Linked DNA regions of Macaca mulatta. The protein of the gene in region 2 purifies or fractionates together with the protein of the main gene of each other region. This does not show direct contact. Links are inferred from orthologs where the notes say so. Each region holds a gene or a part of one and is shown on either strand. Other genes may lie near its edges.

The links.
Region 1: the proteins of GBA2 (region 2) and ILVBL purify together in Homo sapiens (co-immunoprecipitation; 3 studies listed by BioGRID and IntAct, counting the BioPlex papers as one, with this or other methods). This does not show direct contact. The link is inferred for Macaca mulatta from reciprocal best matches to the Homo sapiens genes GBA2 and HACL2.

The regions. Positions count from the first base shown.
Region 1 is NC_133424.1:15,709,980-15,714,277, reverse strand, and holds the start of ILVBL (2-hydroxyacyl-CoA lyase 2), read left to right. Parts: upstream 1-1,211; 5' UTR 1,212-1,324; exon of another isoform or gene 1,325-1,601; intron 1,602-1,912; 5' UTR 1,913-1,922; coding exon 1,923-2,057; intron 2,058-3,359; coding exon 3,360-3,561; intron 3,562-3,692; coding exon 3,693-3,820; intron 3,821-3,906; coding exon 3,907-4,045; intron 4,046-4,132; coding exon 4,133-4,244; intron 4,245-4,298. UniProt on the Homo sapiens protein: Endoplasmic reticulum 2-OH acyl-CoA lyase involved in the cleavage (C1 removal) reaction in the fatty acid alpha-oxydation in a thiamine pyrophosphate (TPP)-dependent manner. Involved in the phytosphingosine degradation pathway.
Region 2 is NC_133420.1:63,950,858-63,954,666, forward strand, and holds part of GBA2 (non-lysosomal glucosylceramidase), read left to right. Parts: exon of another isoform or gene 1-842; intron 843-1,569; coding exon 1,570-1,661; intron 1,662-1,863; coding exon 1,864-1,979; intron 1,980-3,809. UniProt on the Homo sapiens protein: Non-lysosomal glucosylceramidase that catalyzes the hydrolysis of glucosylceramides/GlcCers (such as beta-D-glucosyl-(1<->1')-N-acylsphing-4-enine) to free glucose and ceramides (such as N-acylsphing-4-enine).

The DNA.
Region 1 (4,298 bases), on a different chromosome or scaffold from region 2:
CGCCCGCCTCAGCCTCCCAATGTGCTGGTATTACAGGTGTGAGATACCACACCTGGTCGGTTTTTTTTTTTTTTTTTTTTTTGAGAGACAGGGTCTCACTTTTTGGCCCCAGCTGGTCTCAAATTCCTGGCCTCAAGCGATCCTCCTGCCTTGGCCTCCCAAAGTGCTGGGATTACATGGGCCACCATGCCAGGCTCATTTCCCTTTTTAAAAAAGTCACTTGTCCTCTGTGTATATTTGTTTCAGGGACTGTTGATTTGTTTCAGTCTTCGGCTGAGAAGGTTTTTGGACATTTCTCTAGTGACAATCTTTCTTTATCTGGGGAGAGATAGGACACATAATTAGTCTTGGAGCGTGTTAAAGCTTTGTCTCCCAAGAAAGAATTTACATCTATTACAACATCTTTCTCTCTCTCTCTGGAAAACTGTATCCTTGCTACTAAGACTTTTTTTTTTTTTTTTTTTTAAGCTTTACAGAAAAGCTGAAACAAAACATTTACTGAAACAAAAAGATTAACACTGGTTCATTACTATTAACTCAACTCCAGACTTTATTTGGATTTCACTAGCTTTATCCGCAAATTTGTCCTTTTCTTGATTCCTGGATCCAGTCCAGGGTACTATATTTAATTTACTTGTCACATCTCCTTTCCTGCCTCTGGTCTGTGGCAGTGCCTCAGTCTTTCTTTGTTTTTCATGACCTTGACAGTTTTAGAGAGGCCTGGTTAGGCATTTTATAGAATGTGACTCAATTTGAGTTCCTTTGCTTGCTACTATATTATATAAAAAATATACACATATATATCGCATATTCATTTATAGTGTGGAAAACATACATAACATAAAATTTACCATTTTAAGTATTATTATTTTGTGAGACACGGTTTGCTCTGTCGCCCAGGCTAGAGTGCAGTGGTACATACAGCCCCGCTGGTGTGGAAAGCGAGCTGTGTTCGGACGGCCTGAACCTACGGGATTACATTGTTTGACCAATGGAAGGCTGCGGAAGGTGGGCCCCCAAAGGTCTGGGATCCTGAAGCCGCCGGGGGGCGTGGCCTCCAGGTTTAAAAAAAATAAAATGGGTGTGAGGCCTGCAGTGCGAGCCAATGAAAGGCGAGGGGAGGCGGGGTCTGTGCGCCAGGCGGCCAGTAGAGGCAAGGCTCTTTCGGGTGGCCCCGGAGCGTGGCTCCGACTGTGCGCATGCGCATCGGGCCGGACTACGGGGCGCCGCTGAGCCAAGTGGGCGACCCGGGCAAGGACGGGCTCCCGGGTCACGTGACACGGAGCTGGCCGAATTCTGCAGGAGGCAACGCCATAGCCTAGAGGTGAAAGTGCATAGCCTCGGGGGTCGAGCTGGTGTGGGAGAACTACATCCTGATGCGATGTGACCTCGACCCGTAGCCCGGGGTCTGGGTCCAGGCTCGGGCCCGTGCGCTCTCTAAGGGAGAGGCGTGGCTTGCGTGGAGGGTCGCGCCAGCTAACCTGGGGGCGTGACCTCGTGCCTCTTGGTGACGTACCGTGGGGCGGGCTCACTCCTGGGGCTGAGTTTTGGGGTCCCGTTGTGGAAAGAGGACGGGCTTCTGCCTGTCCACTGACAGGTAGGTAAGTGGAAGATAACTCTGTGGTGCTGTCGTCGCCGCTTTGACCTGTGGTGGCTAGTTTGGGTGGGAGTGGTGGTGACATAAAGGATGGGGGCTAGGCCCGCGAGGGGCGTGACCTTGTCACAGAGAGGCGTGGCTTCACTCCGAGCCTAGGCGCACAAAGGGCGTGGGCTGGCAGGGTTGGGGGCGTGGCCGCACAGAAACTGGCGGCAAGGGGCGTGGTCCTGAATCCGGGCTGGGAGAGGGGGCGCGATTTCTTCCGGATAGGTTCCCTGTCGCGCCCAAATCTGGGAAGTGCCCTTTCTCTCTTAGGTGCCACCTCATGGAGACCCCCGCGGCCGCCGCCCCTGCCGGGAGCTTATTTCCCTCCTTCCTGCTCCTGGCCTGCGGGACGCTGGTGGCCGCCTTGCTAGGCGCCGCGCACCGCCTGGGGCTCTTCTATCAGCTGCTGCACAAGGTGCGGGACATAGAATGGGAGGTGGGCTGGGGGCAGTCAAAGAGGGAGGGACCTCGTGGTGCTGCTTCCAGCTCACTCATTGCGCAGGGTGGGAAAGCGAGCCCCGACTAGTCCAGAGGGACTGGTAAGAGGCTGTGTCCAGGGCCCCGTCTCCATTGCCACGCTGCGTATGGGGGCCTGGACTTTGCCACTAGTGAGAGACAATATGGAAGCTGCCGCTGCCCGGGCACTTGCACCCCACCTACCTCCTTCCCCAGTGACTCTTTTCACAGAACAGATGGACAGCACCCCTAAACTGGATGGGATAAATGCGGCAGAGGGCAGGCACCAGCAAGGGGGTGGCAGTGAGTTTCATAACAGTTGCCCTCTGCTGACAGTACTGTAGACTTTCTTATCTACCCGTTAACCTTTTCCTTGAAAGTAGGTGCTGTTCTTTCTGCCTCATTTTCTGCAAGAGGAAGCTGAGGCTCAGAGAGATTGTGTGGTGGTTTGCCCTAGGTGACATGTTTGGAAAGAGCTGACCCCACAGGCTTCCCCCGAACTCCTTGCACCTGTTTGAAATTTACCCCTTCCTCAGACTTCCTTCTTAACCCTTTCTCTCCTAGCAGGGACCAAGCTTGACCTCTCCCTCCCCAAACCCTTCTCTGATCCTTCCTCTGCTAGCCAAGAGTCATGCCACTGACCTTCAGGACTTGCAGAGATTTAAAGCAAGCCTTGGATGTGTAGGGCTGTGAGGCAGCTGGAGTTGGGAGGCCTCGGCACAGTCTATGCCAGCAGCTCACTCCTATGCCAGGCACATGGTGGCTGGCAGCCTGTCAACTAAGCCCTGGGCCTGTTTAGCGTCTATCAGGAGGGTATCAGGGAGGCTGGAATCAGGAGCCCAGCTGCCAGGCCCTGCAGGGATACTGGAGGACAGTCAGGAGTCACAGCAGATGGCTCCCTGGCAAACTCCCTGGGTTATATAACCGTCTCCTCTCTCCCTGATTGCCCTGCCATCCTGGAGACAGGCAGTGTAACAGTGGGGCACTTAAGAGCGTGGGTTCTATTGGACTTTCATTCTTACTTGGGTAAGTCTTGATGTCCTCAGCTTAAGAGGGATGTAGTGACAAGAGGATCTGATAAGATGTTATGCCTTGCTTTGAGCCTGGTGTGTAGTATAATATATGCCTAACCAAGACCAAGCTTCTCTTGACCTCTCACCCTGCTCCTGCCCCCTTACCTGGGGCAGGGTGATTGCCCCCTTTCCCAGCTGCCCTCTGCCCTGACCTTTAACTTTATTGCTCCACCTGTCCTTGGGCCCAGGTGGACAAGGCAAGCGTCCGGCATGGTGGAGAGAACGTGGCCGCTGTGCTGAGGGCCCATGGCGTGCGGTTCATCTTCACGCTGGTCGGTGGGCACATTTCCCCACTGCTGGTGGCCTGTGAGAAACTGGGCATCCGTGTGGTGGACACACGCCATGAGGTCACGGCCGTCTTTGCTGCTGATGCTATGGCCCGCCTGTCCGGTGAGAGCATTGCGGAGAGGGCTGGGGATTGGTTGGACTGTGGGATACAGTGTCTGTGAGGGTTGGGGTTTTTCAGAGGTGGGAGAATGGCCAAGAGAGTGGGCATGGCTGTGATGGGCTCTGTGTTCCAGGAACGGTGGGTGTGGCGGCAGTGACAGCAGGCCCTGGCCTCACTAACACAGTGACGGCGGTGAAGAATGCTCAGATGGCTCAGTCCCCAGTCCTGCTTCTGGGTGGGGCCGCCAGTACTCTGCTGCAGGTACCCAGTCCTTGGGGGCTGGTGGGGGCCTAGGTGGGGCTTAAAGGGCTCATGTGGTAACCCTACCACACCTCTGTCTTTGCCAGAACCGGGGTGCGCTCCAGGCCATTGATCAGCTGTCCCTTTTCCGGCCACTCTGTAAGTTCTGTGCGTCTGTGCGGAGGGTGAGGGACATCGTGCCCACCCTGAGGGCTGCGATGGCTGCTGCCCAGTCGGGCACCCCAGGTAGGTGGAGGATGGTGATGCTGAGCAGTGCTGGGGCCGAGGGGCTGGGGACATGTTGTGGACTCAGCGTCTTCCCTGCCCCTGCAGGTCCAGTGTTTGTGGAGCTGCCCATTGACGTGCTGTACCCCTACTTCATGGTCCAGAAGGAGATGGTGCCAGCCAAGCCACGCAAGGGCCTCGTGGGCCGAGTGGTCTCCTGGTGAATAGCCCCACCACTGCCATTCTCTCCTCTATCCCCCGTCCTCTCCTGCAG
Region 2 (3,809 bases):
GTCTGTTATCTCTCTTGTGCCCCATCATTTGTATGTTCATTCATTTGTAAATTTGGCAAATATGCATTGACTGCAGACCATATGTCCTGCCCGGTGCTTGGACCTGAGGGTAATATTCAACTAGTCTTTGTCATTGTCCCTTTCCCCAAGGAACTTAAAAATATGTCAGCCTCACATGAGGAACACTGAAATAACAAGGCAATGTCTGATTAGGAATTGAGATAGCAGTTTGTATATATGAGTAATAATCATACCTGTACTTTATGGCTTTCTTATCTATTGTCATTTGATCTTTCAACCATTTTATTAGGTAGCTAGAGTAGGTGGTATCCTCATTTTGTAGATGAAGAAACTGGGACTTAGGGGTTACTTACCCAATTATTTGGCTAGAAGTGGTGTGACTGAACAGTAGGCATAATGTGGTTAGGTAGGGAGGACAGTGGAAATGGGAAAGAGCCTGGCAAGGCAGGGGCTACTTGGTGAGGACCCATCTGGAATGAGAATTTGTAGGAAATAAGATTAGAAGATAGGCTGGGACAGATGTCAGAGCCTTGAAAACAGAATCATTTGCCTACTGAAAACAGCCTCAATCATTTGCCTCTTGGATACAGGGCTGTAGCAAGCCCAGGAAAATGTTGGGATTTTTTGAAGGCTTTACCGAGAGCAAAATCAGAAAGCTTCACGGTTTAAATGCTGAATTAAAAAAAAAAAAAAAAAAAAAGACTTGAGAGGAAATGCCCAGAAATAAATATAAACACTGATTGTCTGTGGGTGAGATGGTTTTTTTCCCCCTTTCACCTTTCACAATTAGAAAGAAAAATGATCATTTTAAAAAGAAGAAAGGCCACAAGCGGTAGCTCACGCCTCTAATCCCAGCACTTTGGGAGACCGAGGCAGGCAGATCACCTGAGGTCAGGAGTTCAAGACCAGCCTGGCTAACATGGTGAAACCCCATCTCTACTAAAAATACAAAAAAAAAAAAAAAATGTGCCAGGCATGGTAGTGGACGCCTGTAATCCCAGCTACTTGGGAGGCTGAGGCAGGAGAATTGCTTGAACACAGGAGGCGGAGTTTGCAGTGAGCCAAGACTGCGCGTCACTGCACTCTAGCTTGGACAACAAAGAATGAAACTCTATCTCAAAAAAAAATAAATAAATAATAAAAATAAAAATAAGAAAGTTATCCCCAGCAGTCTATGCCTGTTTTGGAGGTAGGGGATTGGGGGTGGAGGCTGTAGGCCAGGAAACCATAAACGGTCCTTTCAGCACCTCAGACAGAAGCTCCTGATGTTGGAAGTAAAGCAGTGGTGGTGGCACTAGAGAGATAAGGAGAGATCAGAAAGCCCCTTCTGAGGAGAAAAAAGGAGAGAAACAAAGCCACTCCTACACTTTAGCTGGGGTGACTGGGAAGATGAAGGGACCTTGAACTGTACAGAAATCAAGAGGAAGAGAGATTTGAAAGCAGATGTCCTTGGGACATTTAATGGGAGGTCACAGAGACAGGCAGGTGACAGCCTGTGAACAACTGCCCACCTGCCCCCTTCCACTCACATTGCCTCTTGCTCCTCAGGTACCTGCAGTGGTGGTACCGGAAGACCCAGGTGGAAAAGAAGACACCTTTCATCGACATGATCAATTCTGTACCCCTAAGACAGATTTATGGTGAGCCTCACCCCATCTGTGCTCTGCTCAGAAAAGGCCCAGCCTCCAGGTCTACCACAGTTAGGCAGAGGCTTCCAGTTTATGCAAATTGCACTGTTCCATTCCCTAGGTTTTCAGAAGAACCAGGCTTTATAGTCTAGAAAGTTAGAAATATGCTTATTTTCCTCTCCCAATACCCCACTAACCATCCTGATTTCTCTAGGTTGTCCCTTGGGTGGCATCGGGGGAGGCACTATTACCCGTGGCTGGAGAGGCCAGTTCTGTCGTTGGCAGCTTAACCCTGGAATGTATCAGCACCGGACAGTCATCGCTGACCAAGTAAGAGCCAGGAGGTGGAGAGGCCAGGACAGTACCTCCCCAGGCCAAGAAGGAAGGACCTCTTGGCTAGTGTAGGAGGTAGCAGTTAGATGTGAATATGATTCAATCCAGTAAGTACTCTCAGGATGCTTCCTGTGTGCCCAGCCGTGTGCTAGGATATACTGTAGGAATAAGACACACACAGAGCACACATTCCTTGAAAGAGTAAACAGACTTGGCATTTCTCTAGCAAATGCCTCCTGTCTACCTCACTGGCCCAACCCAACTAGCTGAGGCAGCCCCCAACTACAAAGAATGCAGAGAATTCCCAAATCACTTAACCTGGCTAAAAGAACATTTGGTAGGACTGGAAGGGAGAAGAAAACCCAAAGTCTATAAACTCATGGGAAAAAAAGACATGTAGTACAAGGTTCCTCACCCTGATTGAGGAACCTTCACCAAAGTTCAGCTCCTCTGCTGATCACTTCCCTGGAGGTCTCTCTGGCTTAGGATCTAAAAAGCTCCTTCTCTCCCGGGCTTAGATCTCTAGCCTTCTTCCCTCTTCTGAAGCTTCACTTTTTTCCTTTTGCTCCTGCATCACATCTGGGCCTTAAATTGCCAGAAGTATGTGGCCTGCCTTTCATCATATCTCTAGTTGACCACCCCTTTAGAGTTGTCTAGGAAGTTCCTCTTTCCTGGCTCCAGCATTCAGCCTCATCTTCAAAGGAAAAATGACTAGCAAATCTTTAGTCCAATTAATGACAATGCCCTTCCTGGTTCAGGTTTACCAGCCCTGCCCATGTTCCAAGATCCCTCTCTGCCTCATCCCTTAGGTATCCTGAGGGGAATGGCTTCTAGAATTGTGACTCTACAATTAAAGTAATTATTGCATGCTTAACATGTGCTAGACACTGTTCTAGGCTCTTTGTATACTGTTTAATACTAAAAACAATCCTACAAGGGAAGTACCACTATTATGCTCATTTTGCAGATGAGGACACTAAGATCCAGAGAGGTTTAGTAACATGCGCAAGGTCACAAGGTTGGTAAATGGAAAGGTTGGGATTCAGAACCATTTCTTTCTGTGGTGAAGAGCTTGTGGTCTTAACCATTATGTACCATTCCAACAAAATGAAAAAGTATTTTATATAGTTGTCCCTCAGTATCCATTGGGGGTTGGGCCCAGGACCCACTATCCGAGGATGCTCAGTCTTTGATTTGAAGTGGCATATAGTATTTGCAAATAACCATTGCACATCCTCCTATATACTTTAAATCATCTGTAGATTACTTATAATACCTCATACATTGTTACATAAACCCTTGTCATACCGTACAAGAAATAAAGTGTGTGCATATTCGGTACAGATGCAACTTTTTTTCCGCATATTTTAGATTTGGTTGGTTGAATCCACTGATGCGGAACTCACAGATACGGAGAGCCGACTGTATACAATAAAAATATTTGGCATAGTTTGAACCAGGGAAAGGGATATTAATCCCTCATAGCTCCTACCCTCCAAGAGCTAAAACTTTTTTTGAGAAAACAAGACTTAGGGGAAATGGAGACAGAGACCACATCAGTGCTAAAAGAAGAGGGGTGGATAGTATACTGCGGAAAAAGGGACGGCGCTGCAGATTTCACTCATTCCCTCCACATACACACCAACTCTGAAGAATGGTGCATCAGTGAATTAGAAAATGTACCTACCCTCAGAAGAACCCATAGAGCAGTCAGGGACACAGAATGGTCAGTCAATACATTATAATACACCAAATGCTAGAATAGAGCGGGAGGGGGGCACATATAATGACTCACTGCTGGAGGAAGGAGAGGAAGAGGAAGAGATG